Linked DNA regions of Drosophila melanogaster. The protein of the gene in region 3 interacts with the protein of the main gene of each other region in a pairwise test. Each region holds a gene or a part of one and is shown on either strand. Other genes may lie near its edges.

The links.
Region 1: the proteins of GABA-B-R1 (region 3) and EMC4 interact in a two-hybrid assay, tested with the Drosophila melanogaster proteins (one large-scale study listed by BioGRID).
Region 2: the proteins of GABA-B-R1 (region 3) and CG2076 interact in a two-hybrid assay, tested with the Drosophila melanogaster proteins (one large-scale study listed by BioGRID).
Region 4: the proteins of GABA-B-R1 (region 3) and CG9825 interact in a two-hybrid assay, tested with the Drosophila melanogaster proteins (one large-scale study listed by BioGRID).

Annotation. Positions count from the first base shown.
Region 1 is NT_037436.4:22,866,656-22,869,799, forward strand, and holds EMC4 (ER membrane protein complex subunit 4), read right to left. Parts: upstream 1,589-3,144; 5' UTR 1,498-1,588; coding exon 1,442-1,497; intron 1,382-1,441; coding exon 1,252-1,381; intron 1,200-1,251; coding exon 885-1,199; 3' UTR 809-884; coding exon of another isoform or gene 745-808; 3' UTR 520-744; downstream 1-519. Other genes in the region: Arf1 (ADP ribosylation factor 1), read right to left, coding at 2,427-2,591, 2,691-2,816, 3,010-3,119.
Region 2 is NC_004354.4:11,088,412-11,092,639, forward strand, and holds CG2076 (uncharacterized protein), read left to right. Parts: upstream 1-1,798; 5' UTR 1,799-2,167; coding exon 2,168-2,387; exon of another isoform or gene 2,388-2,454; coding exon 2,455-2,566; exon of another isoform or gene 2,567-2,639; coding exon 2,640-2,781; exon of another isoform or gene 2,782-2,879; coding exon 2,880-3,216; exon of another isoform or gene 3,217-3,313; coding exon 3,314-3,446; exon of another isoform or gene 3,447-3,509; coding exon 3,510-3,591; 3' UTR 3,592-3,687; downstream 3,688-4,228. Other genes in the region: vago, read left to right, coding at 960-1,041, 1,110-1,248, 1,315-1,576.
Region 3 is NT_033779.5:15,014,673-15,019,363, reverse strand, and holds the start of GABA-B-R1 (metabotropic GABA-B receptor subtype 1), read right to left. Parts: upstream 3,034-4,691; 5' UTR 1,968-3,033; intron 1-1,967.
Region 4 is NT_033778.4:22,835,616-22,839,831, reverse strand, and holds CG9825 (uncharacterized protein), read right to left. Parts: upstream 2,472-4,216; 5' UTR 2,397-2,471; coding exon 2,375-2,396; intron 2,111-2,374; coding exon 1,974-2,110; intron 1,917-1,973; coding exon 843-1,916; intron 776-842; coding exon 551-775; 3' UTR 541-550; downstream 1-540. Other genes in the region: CG12490 (uncharacterized protein), read right to left, coding at 3,285-3,491, 3,573-4,216.

The DNA.
Region 1 (3,144 bases), on a different chromosome or scaffold from region 3:
TCGTCGGCTTGTGGAATGCATATGTTATTCAAGACCAGTGGTGGGCATGTTTGTTTGTTTAAGGTAAAGGTAACCTGCTTGCATTTTTGAACATTTATTGAAATTCTCCAGTCGGCAAGCCATCGTTCTACAGATGTTAAGTGTCGGGATAGGAGTGCCGTGGCTTTTATTGGGCATTTCGAGCGACTGAGTATCGCGGTATCATCAGCGAACGTGGAGGTTGTTAGATTGTAGTCTATGGGGAAATCCGCCGTATACAGGGTGTATAAGATTGGACCCAGTACACTGCCTTGCGGCACTCCAGCTTCGATTGCGCAATCGCGTGAAGTGCTTGTATCGCATCTTATTGCAAACACTCTGTTATATAGGTATGACTTCAGTAGCTTATGTGTGTTTTGGGGCAACAGCTTGATTATTTTAAACAAAAGTCCATCGAGCCACACTCTGTCAAATGCCTTTGTAATTAAAATTGTAAAAATTTTATAAGTCGAACTTGTCAACTAAACCTGGATTTTTTTTCGATATCTTATATTAAGCTTTCCACGCGCTTGTTTTACAAATTCTGAAAATAGGACAAAGTGCTGAAAAAATGCGTGCGAAGTCGTGATGATATCTTTCTACTGTGGTGAATGATGGCTTTTCCGAATAAAAATTTGTTGCCAGGTGCAACCATGACGAAATCAATGCTAAATAAGATCATATTATCATTCTGTATCTTAATTATTTTACTATTTTCTTTAACAGATCGCCCGGCGAGAAACTAGTGGATGACATCAAAAAGGAGGCCAAGAAGATACTAGACGACTGACTGGCGGAATAAGACCACAATTTTAGTTTAAACCAATTTATCTATGATCAAATAAAGAGAATCTATATGTGTAAAACTAGACAAACGAAATTCCTCCGCCGTAATATTCCAGGCGTGTCTGAGGCTGGACAAATGCCAACCAATCGGAGGCGTGGGTGGGGAGGAGCCCCATGCTCTGGCACTTGTAGAGGGCCAAAGCCACGTTTGCTAGGTTGCCCAGGAAGTAGACGATGCGCTGGCCAGTTCCCTGGGCCCCCTCCGCCATTTTGGAAGTCACCTGGGTGGTGAAGATGGCCTTGATAGGCCGGATCAGCATCATGCCGACCATCATGATGGGAAAAATGGAAATCGAGTTTCCTGACATGTACATGATGAATAGATTCATGGGAATCTGAGGGAATCCAAAGGTTAAGCACGGGTCTTTCCAAAGGGCTGCTACTCACGTTCTTAAGAGGTCCCAGGGCAAGGTCCCACGACTTCTTGATGACCAGGCGCTGGTCGCGCACCACTTCACTCTGGTTCACCAAAGCAGATGGATTGTAGCCCAGCGGCGAAGGAATATCAGCATTTTTGCTGCAGGAAAAAGCAAAAGTGGTAAGAACTTGAGTCACCGCGCAGGCTAGCAATCCTTACCTCCCGTTAAAGTCCAGCGCCCACTTTAACTTTTTTGGGTTTTGCTTGGCGGACATGCTGTGCTTTCTTTTATTTAATCTTTTGCCAATTTATAAAACAAAATGACGATTTTTTCTGACAATTGGTCGCTGAGTGTTGTTCAACGTTAAATTCCGAAATTATTGTAGTGTAGACAATTCGATAGGCAACTGATGTGTATGGCACCAGGGTATCGATAGGCAGTTACGATTTTGCGCGGACTTTTTGAAACGCATGTGCAAAAATCGAACAGCGCAGTAGTTTTCATTAATATTTAAATTTTATTTCAAATTACCTTTTAAGTAGTACTTTCCTTTTTAATATGGTCTTATATATATGCGTGATTTTTAATGGATTTTGCGTGACCAAGCGACAACAAGAAACAGAAGGGTTAAAAATTAAAATGGTATTTGTTGTATTTTTAAAGAGCAATTACAATTACAGTTTTTTCTCATTAATATTACTTTAATATTATAAAATTAAAAAGAAATATATATTTTGATGAGGGGTAGGGAGAGGACAAAAATAACTTAAAAAAGACATTTTTATACCATATACTATAGTTTCCTTTCTTGTGTGATTGGTTGGGCTTTTCTTTTACTCGATTTGCTTTTAAACATCCAATAATTATGTATACGAATTTAAATTATATTATAGCGTTCTTTATATGCTGCTTGAAAGGTTATGTTTTTGCAATTCAATAAACAATTTCAGTTTCTTGTTTGGAAATACGGACATGCGGAGCCCTTTAAGTTATGCGAAGATCTGCTGCTCTTGTTGTTGGTGTTGGTGCCGCTGCTGCTGTTTTGTGAAAATTCCTTCTGATGTCGATTTCCACCGTTTACCGCTGGATGTTGGATGTCCTTCAGCCGCTCTTTCTATGGTTCTGGTTGCTGGTTAACTGCTTCGGCTCGCTTGAAATCAGAGTTAGTTGTATTCATATTGTTGCTTTAATTTTAGTGTTTAATTAGCGATTAGCGTTCTTCAATTGGTTGGACAGCCAGTCGAGTCCCTCGTACAGCCCATCACCGCTAGTTGCACACGTCGCCTGGATGTACCAGTTGCGGTTTCTGAGTGAGTGCAAGCCGAGCTTGTCGGTGATTTCGGCCGCGTTCATTGCATTTGGCAGATCCTAAAATGATCCCAGAAAAGAGCGAGGTGCAATATTAGTATGACAATATAAGGACCGAGCAACTGGCTACTGATAACGACAACCTTTGCTTGGACCTACCTGTTTGTTTGCGAAGATTAGTAAGACTGCATCCCTCAGCTCGTCCTCTGCCAGCATGCGCATCAACTCCTCTCTCGCCTCACCGATACGCTCTCGGTCATTGCTGTCCACGACGAAGATAAGACCCTGTAACGATTCAAATGAAAACTTTATTCCAATTGTCCTGGCTTGAATCGTAGGAGATAGATCTCTAAGATAATATAGTCAGTCCCGTCTTGAAACAAAATAAACTTGAATAATCACAATGCATAATCATTACAAGCTGTTAACATCATATAGAATTTTCTGGAATCTGTGGAAAAGCTGAAATCACACTTACTTGTGTATTCTGGAAGTAGTGCCTCCACAGGGGACGAATTTTGTCTTGGCCACCCACATCCCACACTGTAAAGCTAATATTCTTGTATTCTACAGTCTCCACATTGAAACCTAGGGGGACAACCATTAGATATTA
Region 2 (4,228 bases), on a different chromosome or scaffold from region 3:
TGGATGATCATGATCGTCCGGCGCGAACCAAAACATCGAAACGTAAACAATTCTTTGCATCTCAACTCAAATGTTTATACAATTTTATACATCAACGGTCAAGAGAATGGGTACAACCAATTCAAAATCAGAAGCAAACAATTACTGAGACAGTCGACTTAAATACAATTTTTAATAAAATCTGCATTTTCTAGCAGTAAATCGATGTATTCTATTAATTTCTGCATACATTTTGCTCTATTTGTGATATAATTATCATTATTATTAATTGAATTATGCCAATGAAAGTACTTTCTATATTTGTGGATTCAATCATGCGAATATAGGTATATATTATTATGCTGATTAGGCAGGTCAGACGGACTTATATACAATACACAAAATATGGATCGATATTTGTTTCTTTTTGCATATTGCTATTAATCGTTTTCCTTCCATTTTATTTTGTAGCGCGATAAGCAGAGCATCGTAAGTTGCGTTCCGAAACTGTCAATCCAATAATTAACAGAAATTCACTTAGTAATATAAACTGAAAGTTGATGGCTTTATAAGGCGTAAGAGTCTGAAGATGTAAATGATGTTGCTCATCAACTGAAAATATAGCTAAATTTGTATGATTGAATCTATTTTTGGCAAAGCAAGGGAATTTTTCAACGGTATTGAGATCTATTTCAATATCATAAACATTTGTTTTAACACCTATGAAACGCACTGTTCGCAGGCTCGTACGCATAAACATTCAACAGATCCGAGTAAAATTTGTTAAATTTATTGTAGAGAAAGCGCGCAAATGTCGTAAGTGTGTGATTCCATACAAATAAACAATGTACTCTAGGTTTTTTAATATAAAAATGAACGAAGATTAACCGAACGGACTTCAGTTGTGCGCTAAACTTTGCAAACGTCGGGCCAAATTCTGTCCGCCGATCTCAGTTCTTTCGAATAGCAAATTTTCACAAATGGAGTCAATTAGCAGCATGATTTATTTAGTGGCCATGATGTCATTGATCATCGGTGGCAGCCAAGCGATTCCTTATCGACGTACGATTTTTCCAAATAACACATATATTTTCCAGTAATATACGTTGATTTTCCCTTTCACCCTATAGCCTCGGCGTATCTGTACAATCAGCAGTACTGTATGGATACATTGACGGGTCGGCAGCTTTATATCGGTGAAGTCTTCACGCGAGAGGATCAGTGCGTCCGCATCCAATGCCTGGAAACGCTGCAACTCTGGGAGGATAGGTAAGCGTGCCGTACTAGTATGCCATAGCATCGGGTAACAGATCATCGTACTCATCCATGGTCCAGCTGCCAGGTGCCGAAACTGACGCAGGGCAATTGCACGCCAGTTCCATCGACGAACCCGCATGCCGAATATCCCCGATGCTGCCCACTGTATGAGTGCAAGAGCTACGAGTCGAATTCGGGGGGAACTCTGGAGCAGACCAACATATATGACCACTATGGTACTCTGCGATCATCCCATCTCACTGAGATGATAGTGATCGACGGGCGGACACCCCCTCGTGGCGAGATTCACACGGCGTCGGCGAGGAAGTATCAGGTGTGAGAAGTGAACTGGTACTCTGTTCCTAGGACTACTTAGTCTTTAGTGCAGATCTAATGTGTACAAATACAAATGGAGTTTATTGCGGAATACTTGAATATGTTAAATAAATTTAAATTTCACATTTTTTTTGTCTAAAGAAGTGTATTTTTTCCACTGTACTCGCTATTCAAACTTGGCGCCCTATCGATAGCATTGCTTAGCTTATCAAATAAATTATCTCAGACAACGGGCTACGATTTGAATTCCTTACTTCAGGATCGTTGAGTTTATATTTCTATTTATTTTCTCGGGATTTTCAATATTATATTTTAGCATAATATCGATATTAGCGGTATTTGTGGCCGTCTGCGATAGGCATTTAGTTATCACGTAGCCAGACATCGAATAACGATTGCACCACTTATCGATAATAAAGCACAAGAGACAGTAAAATATTTAACAATTTCTACGAATCAACAAATTATAAAGCCGCAGTGAGCAATTAAAATCAGTTGGAAGAAACGCTAGTGCCCCACATAGGAATCCGAATCAAGCAGCACTTACCGAAGGACAACCAATTGCCCTCTAACCGAATTTCACCACAACAACACAATGTTGCTGCGTCTAGCACTTTCCACCGCCCGTCCAGCCGGGGCTATCAAGATCCTGGCCCAGTCTCCGGCCCAGCTGTTCCGGGCCAATGCCAATCCCAATCTGAATCTCTCCACGGTGCGCACCTACGCCCGCAGGGTGGTTCGCACCCGTGAGCCCGTCGAAGAGATGCGTGCTCCCTCGCTGAAGGAGAAACTGATGGGTCCGCCAAGTGCCAATGGTAAGTCTCTTGTGTAATCCCCCATCTATGTATATCGGTCGTCTAATTGTACTCTTCTGGCGTGCAGCATACTCCATGGGCAAGGGCGCTGCCGCCGGAGCAGCCGCCGTGGGATTGGGCGCCCTGTGCTACTACGGCGTGGGATTGGGAAAACAAACCAGCATCGCGGATAATGCCATGTGAGTGATAGCACGAGTCTCTCACTTGCGAAATACAGGGACTTTAATAACTGAGATTATATTTTCCGTTTAGCATGTGGCCCCAGTTTGTGCGCGATCGTATCCAGAGCACCTATGCCTTTTTCGGTGGCTCTTGCGTTCTCACCGCGGCCGCAGCAGCAGCCACCTTCCGTTCGCACCGTCTCCTGGAGCTGGCCTCGCGTGGCGGCATCTTGGTGAGTCCTCTTGCACAATTCGTAGTTCTTGCCGCCTACCTGACCAACAGACACAACAGAACATAACACTTCCTCTTCATTTGCCTTTAATCGCTTAGGCGACCATTGCTTCGCTGGCGCTGGTCATTGGTAGTGGAGCAGTTGCCCGCTCGATTGAGTACCAGCCGGGTCTGGGAGCCAAGCATCTGGCCTGGGCGGTGCACTGCGCCATTCTGGGCGCCGTGATCGCACCCATTTGCTTCATGGGCGGACCGATTTTGACGCGCGCCGCTCTCTACACGGGCGGCATTGTTGGTGGCTTGTCCACGATCGCCGCGTGTGCACCCAGCGATAAGTTCCTCTACATGGGCGGCCCACTGGCCATTGGCTTGGGCGTGGTGTTCGCCTCCTCGCTGGCATCCATGTGGCTGCCGCCCACCACGGCGCTGGGCGCAGGTGAGTTGCCAGAAAGTTCCACTGGGGCTAGCACCACTTCGCATTATATTTTATGAATTGTCAAGCGGAGTTAACCCATTCAACTCTCTTTTCGCAGGTCTGGCCTCCATGTCCCTATATGGCGGCCTCGTCCTCTTCAGTGGCTTCCTGCTCTATGACACTCAGCGCATGGTCCGTCGCGCTGAGGTCTATCCCCAGTACAGCTACACTCCCTACGATCCAATCAACGCGTAAGTTCACTCCTCATCCATACCGTGCTCTGAAACTCTATACTTTTTGGTTCTATCTTTTAGCTCAATGTCGATCTACATGGACGTGCTGAACATATTCATCCGCATCGTTACCATTCTGAGTGGTGGTCAGCGCAGGAAGTGAGCACTGGAGACGAACATGTGATGCGAGGATTATACCCTCTAAAATATACATACATATTTATACTGTTATTAAAATAAACCGATCGAGTTAGGAAGCAAAATGTACGAACTTTGTGTTTCAATTTGGCTAATTTCAATTAGTGTCTTAATACACTCCAGACCTAGAAATTAAATAATATATTGTCCATATATTATATACAATCTCTAAAAAGAAAGCATTTTTTAAGATCAATTTAAAATGTTAGTCAATTTTAAGCTTGATAGCGATAAATGTAGCTAGCTTTTAACCGATATTTATAGCAGTTGGGTTCGTTGTTATCGATAGCTTAATTACTTTTATTACGGATCGTTTGCCGTATTACCTAATTAGTTAGAAATTTACCTCGTGCAATATTTGTTATTGGTCGTACAGAAGCTCTGTTTTTTTTTTTTTAATTCAAAAACCGATGGCAAAGTGAAATTGGGCTCTAGGGATGTATCGATATGCAATCGATGTTTCATTCAGCTTTTTTCGACAGGACCTAAGCATTCCTGTCAAGAATTGTTTAAATATTTCGAGTCGAGCCGGTCGACAGTTCGAAAATAAGTTCTCCCGCAGAAGCGCCAAGATTCCGGATTTTAGGTGGCTGTGAGAAAAA
Region 3 (4,691 bases):
TTTCAATTGAGATTTGTCGAAACAAATAAATAAATAAGCAGTTTGTATTTTATTTGCTCTTGTTCTTCTTTGTTTTTGTTGTTGGTTGTTGCTGTTCAATTTCTTCTTTTTGTTCAGGGCAAGGGCATTTTGCGCTTCGGCGCCTGAGTTTTATGGCTTTTACCCGCCACGCCCCCGCCCCTTCATCTGTCCGCATCCCCTTTGGCAATGTTCTAAACTCCTGCCAGCAATATTTTTCTATAAAAAAAAAAAAACAGAATAGAACTTTTATGTGGGAGAAGCCTTTTTATCTCTATGTCCTGCGTGTGCGAGGTACTCACATACACACCGATACGTAAAACCATATAGGGCAAAAAAAAAATATAACTTAAAGTATGAATTGTATTATATATTTTACCGTCAGCACGTTTCATAATTTATTACGGTACTAAAATATTTAATTTAAGAGTGCCTTCTCGGTTGTTCTAGACATAATATATCATATTAAAGAGTGGTCTTGATTGAAATCTGCTTGTAAGTGAATATAAAATAGATGGCACATTTTGAAGGCTTTTATAGTTATAAAACCTTAAATCTTAATTAAACAAAGCATAGTTCCCTTTGAAATATATCTTAATTCTGAACATATTTGTATTTAAAATTGATAGAAAACTTAAATGTTTGCACTAACACAAATATATACTGATGCTAATTTGCCAGGATTTATTGATTTAGTGTTTCCTTTCAGTTTCCTTCATAATTAGCCTATTAATCAACTGAACTAACAGTGCGTATACGTATTTTGAGGATTGATTGCTCGACTTTAGTGGGTGATGAATGCGATGCAAGTCAGAAATCAACTAAAGTTTTTTTGTGTTTGAGGATGTAAAAAATACAAAGCCATAATGTGGCGATGCCATTACCGGTTATTTGTGTTGGTTGGATGATGAATGACAGTTTTTCATGCACAAATACGGCGTCTTTTTTAGCATAAAACCTTTTTACAGTGTTTGCATACGAGCCGCGTGTGTTATTGAATGGAAATGCTGTCGGTTTAGCACAAACATGCATACATATATGTATGTATGTACATCGCCGCAGCGTCACTCCAAATTTGTTTGCCAGTTAATCGCACTGAGGCGCGTTAATCATGGCGGTGTGTTAAGGACGAATAAAAGGTGGTGGTGCTGTGGATAATTTTGGTGGCTACGGGGTGGCTCACTTAACTAAGGTGTGGTTGCAGATTTGGCGAGTTGACACCTTTGACGTAGAGTTGCCGCTGAAGAGGCGCTGATGAGAGGGGATGGTCGTCAAGGGGCTAACTTCCTAGTGACCTAGTTTACAAACCTTCGCACACATACACACACACAGACTTTAAACATTAATTACGTCGGGAATTCTGCACAAATGCGACAAATGCTTCACTTCACTTCACTGCCTTCCCACCTGCTCTCTTCATACCTACACAGAACAAAAAGGAGTGATCGTAGATGATGATCGGTTTACTCTTCTCAAAAGCAATATAAAAAAGATATAGATTTCAGATTCTATGAAAGATCTATGCATCTTGTCGGCGAAAAAACAAAAATATATCAAATTTGTATTGAAAAATAATTTTAACAATTTAATTTGAGTTAGAAAGAGTTTTGTGGTACGATCATTGTAATGACCATCAATCCGGGATATCATTTTAACTATTATTTTCCTGTACTACAACCAATAAATATCATATATCATTCTTTCCTTTCTTTCTTTTATTTGTACTTCTCAAATCATTTTGATTTCACTTGGCTTAAAACATACATATATTTCCACTGACCATTCATCACTTGTCCATCTCCTAGAATCTTTGAACCATGAGGGTTTAATTTTTTTTAACATCCCTGGGAATTAGCTGCTCACATTTTTGCAAGTGTATTCTCTCCGCCTCTCTTCGCGGCACTCTACACCTTTCTATTGCCATCTCGCTCACTTTACACTTCACTTACTTTGCGTATTGCCGTTTAAAAATGCGATGTTGCGGTTGTTGTTGTTGTTGTTTCCTGCTTTGCTACTACTGCTTCCTCTTCTTCTCGGCCTCCGTTTTATCCTTTGCCGATGTTTTTGTCTCTGTCTTTGTCTGCTCCTTTGCTCCTTTGGCCGGTGCTTCAATTGTTTCATAAGACGCTTCTTCTTTTTCGCTGCTCCTTTTGCTTGGGCAGGGTCGTAGGGGGTGTTGGATGGAGGGGGTGCTGCCAAAGGGGGTCAGGGGCCAAATCAGTGTTTGTTGTTGATTTGGTTGTTGTTGTTGTTGTTATTGTTGCTATTATCGCTGTCGCGGCGGCGTTGTTCAAACATAATTTGATGACTGCGCATTACAATCGATAATCCCATGCACAAATGCAGCTCAGCACATCGGCATTGCCTTAAATCCATTTTAATGAGAACGGATCCCGATAATTCCGTAATCCCCAAATGATGGCAATTCCTTTGCAGGTCCTGCTGTCACTGCCTTTTTTTGCTGTGCTCTCTCCTCCCTTTTCTTTTTTATTTTTTATATATGTTTGTTGCACTTTCACAAATAATTCGAGAAAAAACTGAGATGTGAGGGGCGTGAGCTTTTTTTTTGTCAACTTTGTTTGAGTTTGCGGTGTGTTCTGTGTAACTGTGCTATATGCTATATGCTATGTATATTACTTTGTACAACTTTTCTACATTACTATATCAGATTTACGTTGAATTCCTTATCAAACTAGTAAGCTTCTGACTATGAGGGGCATGAATTATTAATGTATTCGTTTTATTTCACTTGCTTTCTAGCTGTAACACACTTCACTTTATCAATTCCCGCACCGTAATTCCATTTAACGCGTATTTCTTTTTGCAGGTATTCAGTTCTGCGGGAGTTATATCTTATGCACAGAGTGGTGTTTTCGCTCCTGCTCCTTATTTGTCTATTTTTTGTACAGACTTTTTCGCATTGTATTCGGGGGATGAGACGCGAGAGGCTCCTGCTGTGTTCGTTGTGTTCCACATGTATCCGACGACTGGAACTCCATGACTGACATTTACGTTTTCGCCTCGCCAGGACGAAAGCTTAGAGCACGAGAGCTTTTCGGTGGGAAAGCTCGTGCTTCCGCTTTTCCACTTTTCCAGTTGCCAAGTCAAGTCGGGTTTTTTGAAGTTTCGCTTTTTCAGTTTGCTGGCCAAGTCGAAAGTCGCGAAACTCTCCGGGCAATTACGTTTACTTTGTGGGTGGGTGTAGCGGGGTGTAGGTGGGTGGTAGTTGGACGGTAATTGGGGGTTGGGCGCAAGGACGAGGGCGGGCTTAAGGACACCGGTTTTATAGAGTTGTCAAATGGCCCCAGGAATGGCCAGTCAAAACATCAAAATTCACTCGCAATTGGCCAAGGGCAATGCGAAAAACCAACAACAAGGAGCAAGTGCCACTAGGCCAACCGGGAAACAGGATGGGGGCATTGTTTTGAAAGCGAAAGGCCATAATGCTTGCACGCCACAATCCCGAGCCGCAGTCAAAGCCAAAGTTGAGTTTCATTTTTGGGGTCGCGTCGCCTCATCGAGCCAAACATGCAAACACGCACGGGCCAAAGCCAAAGCCGAAGCCCAAGGAAGGCAAGGTGAGGTCCTTGTCATTTAACTCACTTGTCGAGTTGACCTTTGTTCGCTTGGTTGCCGTGCTCCACCATAGAGCTAATGCCCAACTGCCACGCCTTGAGCTTGATCCATAGCAACTTGTACTTTTGTGTCCCCTCGCAAAACCCCCCCCCAAACCGCTCGACAAAAAAAGGGGAAACCCTGAAATATACAGCTAACCCCCCTTCACCAAACACACTTGGCTCTAAATACAAACTTGCCCCCCCCTGCTGATGGCCATGTGCATGTTTGATGAGCTTATCAAGGCTCCGGGATTATTGAATATTTTCAAATCGATATAGCCGTGCCAGCCACACCGTTAGTTGGCACCTTAATTGCCAACTGAATAAATCATTGACAATTTTGCAATTAGTTCGAGAACCTCAACTGTCCGCTCAAGTCGAAGGATTCTGCGGTCAAAAATAAACCATTTGCATTGGCCCAAAAGTAGTCAAGCCAAGAAATTGGAAGTTTTCCCATCGTCGACTTGGGAAATCAATTACTCAAATATTTATGTCCGCATGTGGAATTCGGGTATGCTGAAATGCACTTGTCTTGAACTCTGCCAGTGAATAAATGGCAATCGAAATTGCTGAGCGGATTAAATAACTTTCAGATGTGTGAATACGAGGGCATGGGTTATGGCCTATATTTGCACTGCCGTATAGGTTACAGAACGCACTTATTGTTTAGATATTTGAATTGATTTCATAGACAGTTAGAGCAGAAACGGCACTAATTAAACCAAATCCACTCAAGAGCAAATTGGTAAACAGCAGTTTGAAAATTAACATTGCGCAATTGTTATGCATTGATAAATTGATGATTTATTTATGAATTTTCTGTATTCCAATGTTATTTTGGCATAGGCCAGCTATTATTTTGAACTCTGATTTTGATTTCTAGTTCACTCTAAATTCACGTTTTAATTACATAAAATTATAAATGTTTTCAGTGAAATATTTAGCGAATTTGCTTTGAATAGAACGTTTATTTTATGTTATGGTAATCTCCTAAAACTATTCAATAAAATGAAAGTTATTATTGAATGGGCGATTTAAAACATTTGCAGGCACAGC
Region 4 (4,216 bases), on a different chromosome or scaffold from region 3:
TGAGTCACTTACTAAAGTTATAGGTCGCGCCTTAAATTTTTGTTCCAAAGAAACCATAAAGGTGTGTACCATTTAGTGATACTGTGGGCATTGCCAATTTTTTTTATCACAAATCATATGGCGAGAAGTGCAATGACGAGATCGTTGTACGTAAGATAATATTTTTAGGTCTTCGCAAACGGCATCTTAAAAATGAACTGCAGAACTAAATGCTCTATAATTCAGTCTACTAGCGACGGTAACTAAGGGAATTTTAAACACAAGAATATGTCTATATTTTCGAGCAATCAAAACAATAATAGCTGACTAGCTCTTGAGACTGCGGACTTGTAATTAAAAATATTTAGTGATGTCGCCCTCAATGGCATTTTCAAAATATCAAGAATAACTCAATTTGAGTGTCAGTTATAGATAAAAGAATCGTTTGCTATCTCTCTACCAAGTTATGATTTTTAGACCACTAAAGTGAACAAATAAAAACCAAATGCTAAAATGTAAATTTGGTTATCCAGACTAGTCTAAAAAATAAATGCGTTAAATGGGTTAAGAATTAATGGCTTTTACTATTAATTTTCTCTTTGGAATTTTCGTTAATTGGAAAGGATAACGCCTGCATAGGTGGTCTATTGGCAAGTTCCGGGTTCTGTGTCTGCAGATAGTCCTCGGCATCCCAGGGCTGAGTTTCGGCCGTGCCAAACACCAAGTAAATGCAATTGCCCACAAAGAAGATTACGGAGGCAATGATGAACACGATCTGCCATTGGGAGCGATCAGACTGAAAGGAAAGGATACAATAAGCAATTAAAAATCTTTACTTCCTACCAACTTTTGCAAGCACTCACATTTTCCTTAACAATCCATCCAACAACTAAAGGAGTGACTATGGGCACGAAATTCGCCGCTGTATTCACAATTCCCATTAGAATGCTAGCGTGATTTTTCGATAGATCAATTGTGTTTAAAACACTGCCAATGGTTTGAGCACTATTCACGCCCACACTGATGGTCATCAGAGCAATCGCGAAGTTCTTTTGTTCCTTGTCCAAAAAGCCAATGCCCACCAAAGTGGCAGCAGGAATCCAGAAGGCAATGGAGTTGTAGGTCTTTCTCAAAATCGTCAAGGACACCGAGTTCTTGCCCAAGAGCACATCGGCTACGACTAGGTAAATATACGACATGCACCACATGGCCAAGAATGGGAGTGCCGAGAAGAACGCATTGCTCTTCATGTCCATGTCGAGGACTCCGTTCATATAGGATGGGATCTCGGCCTGCAGAGTGCTCAGTCCCCAGTTCTCAGCGCATCGTACTATGAGCAGGGCCAGGAATGGTGCCGACGTCCAAATTGCCTTCCAGGGAATGGGTATAATGGTAGCGTGGTATGACTCATTGTGCTTTAGAGACGACTCAATATAGATCAGTTCGTTCTCTCCTATGAAACGAGATTCCGTAGGATGGTTGGCAGCGAAGACGAACCATAATGTACACCAGAAGAAGGCCACTCCAGCCGAGACATATGAGATTCCGGGCCATCCCAGGGAGCTCTTGGCTATCATTCCGCTCAGGAACATGGCACTCACATTGCCGCACTCGATTCCAGTGTGACTCAGAGCTCCCAACCGATTTCTTTCCTCGGGCGGTGACCATTTAGCCAGGTGCTGATGAATGCAGGGGAATACCACTCCCTGGGCCAATCCCATTAGAACTCGAATTCCACAGTAGGCCTGCCATTCTCCAAATCCGATGAACAGCGGCGTCAAAGCACTGCAGACACCAGATCCGAAGACACCCCAAAACATTACACTCTTGACTCCAAAGCGCTTGCAGAGATAACCTCCAAGGAATTGCGTTAGGATGTAGCCCCAAAAGAAACTGGAGAGAATGTACGACTTCTCTGCCTCCGTCCAATCGTATTCCTAGTAGAGAATCTAGTAAGCTAAGTGGTATTTTCTTGATAGGATCCCTATTCTTACCGGAAAGTTCGGGTTCGTGGTTTCCGCATTGGTCATTGCCACCACAGACACGCCCACATTTAGGCGGCCTATGAATACGGTAGTTATATTGAGGAAGATCAGTAGCGCCTGGACATGCCTCATTCCCAGAACGGGTCCTGCAATAACAAAACGAACTGGTATTATCACTGTTACTTCCTGTCTACAAACAGTTGGGTAAATAAGTCTGAATTGCTCTTGAGACTCGGTTATCGCGCCATTATTGTAGTAATTTATGACCACTCAATGCGTGTGCGAAAAGCCCAGAAATCAGACGGAGTGCAAGGTCTGAGCCATGAAGGGGTTTTCCACTGTGTCAAGTTCGTTGGGTGTCAATTCATTCACAAACTCTTATCCGAACCGAAGGATTTCCTTTCACGCACCTTTGTTTGTCTCGGCCGTCATTTTTGATTTGGTCAACAAAACACCTCCTGACTTCTTTTAAACGACCGATCGGAATCACTGTGGGAAGTTAAGTGAGTGAGACCACGAACATAGAGTGGATTTAAATCCAAATTGAATTAGACGATAAGCCAAATGTTGCTTATCTGATACGACACGTCAGGTGATAAGGTCATACAGCGGGCGAATTTAACCATTGAATTAAAAAGCGTCATTAAAAAATTGTTGTACTTTACAAACTAGTTATTATGTCATTAGTCAGAATATTGTAAATCAATCAATAAATCATTATTTTCATCCATTTCTACAATTCTAGTAAGGATTCTGGCACGATTCGGTAAAAGATAGATGCCACATAAGCAACATGGCCTAAAATGTTAGCGCCAAAAAGAATGCATTGCTTTTTCATGGCCATATCGAGAACCCTTTTTCGAATAGGTGGGCATTTCGGCCTTCAGGTTACTTAGTCAAGAAAGAAGCCAAGGTTTTGCACCTTTAATAGTTAATTTTAGATATCTTGACGAAAATATCCTACCTGCAGTTCCTTTTCTACTGTTAAACGAGGTTGTTTAGAACAGCATTGCCTGGTCGTGTGGCGTTCCAAAATCAATTGGTAATATCAAGAGTAGTTACTGCCATACCATTATTGGATTGATTTATGGCCGCACCTTTGGTAAATTTGACGACTTTTGATAAGCAAATAACGCTCAAACATTTTAATTCAAACAAATCGTTTTACTTATACGTTTAATAAACAAATGAAATGTACTGATGTAGATCTTAAATCTTATTAAATTTAATAATAATACTCTAAATTATTTTGATTGCTTTGTTGTTTTAAATAGTTTCTATGTTAACTGAAGACTTAAGTGCTATCGATAGAACTTCAATTCAAGGACTTCGTGGAAGGTCATCAATACCTTTACCAGCTTCATGGATAGCTGGAACTTTAGCTAGCTCTGGCACCTTTACTGTGAGGTAGTCTTCAGCATCCCAGGGTTGTGAAACAGCCGTTCCAAAGTATAGGTACACCGAGTTTCCGACAAAAAAAAGTACTGCCGCAATTATGAACACTATCTGCCACTCAGCACGGTTATCCTGAAACAATCAACAGAAAGTCTTCTTATTTATACTTATTTATCACTGCCCTGTTTATAAACACTAACAGTGCAAACTTACGTCTTCATGAACAATAACTCCAACAATCAAAGGGGTTACTATAGGCACTACAGTAACAGCCGTATTCAAGATTCCCATTAGAATACTCGCATGATTCGGGGATAGATCTATGGTGTTCAAGGAGCTTCCGATTGTTGCTCCACTGTTGACACCGACACTGATGGTCATCAAAGCAATTGCCAGGTTCTTCTGCTCCTGATCCAGGAATCCGATTCCAATCAAAGTGGCACAAGGAATCCAGAAGGCCAACGAGTTGAAGGTCTTCCGGAGGGCCGTTAAACTCAGCCTGTTTCCGGCGAGCAGAACATCGGCGATTATCAGGTACACATACGACATAATCCACATGGCCAGAAATGGTAATGCCGAAAAGAATGCATTGCTTTTCATGTCCATATCCAGAACTCCGTTCATATAAGTTGGGATTTGGGCCTGGAGGGTGCTCAGACCCCAGGTCGCGCAACAACGCGTCAGCGTAAGAGCAAGAAATGGTGCCGAGGTCCAAATCGCCATCCATGGTACGGGAATTACGGTCTTGTGATAGTCCTCATTGTGCTTCAGAGACGATTCGATATAGTGGAGTTCTTCCTGGGTTATGTAACGAGATTCCACTGCATTGTCAGCGGCAAAAACGAACCAAATGGCAC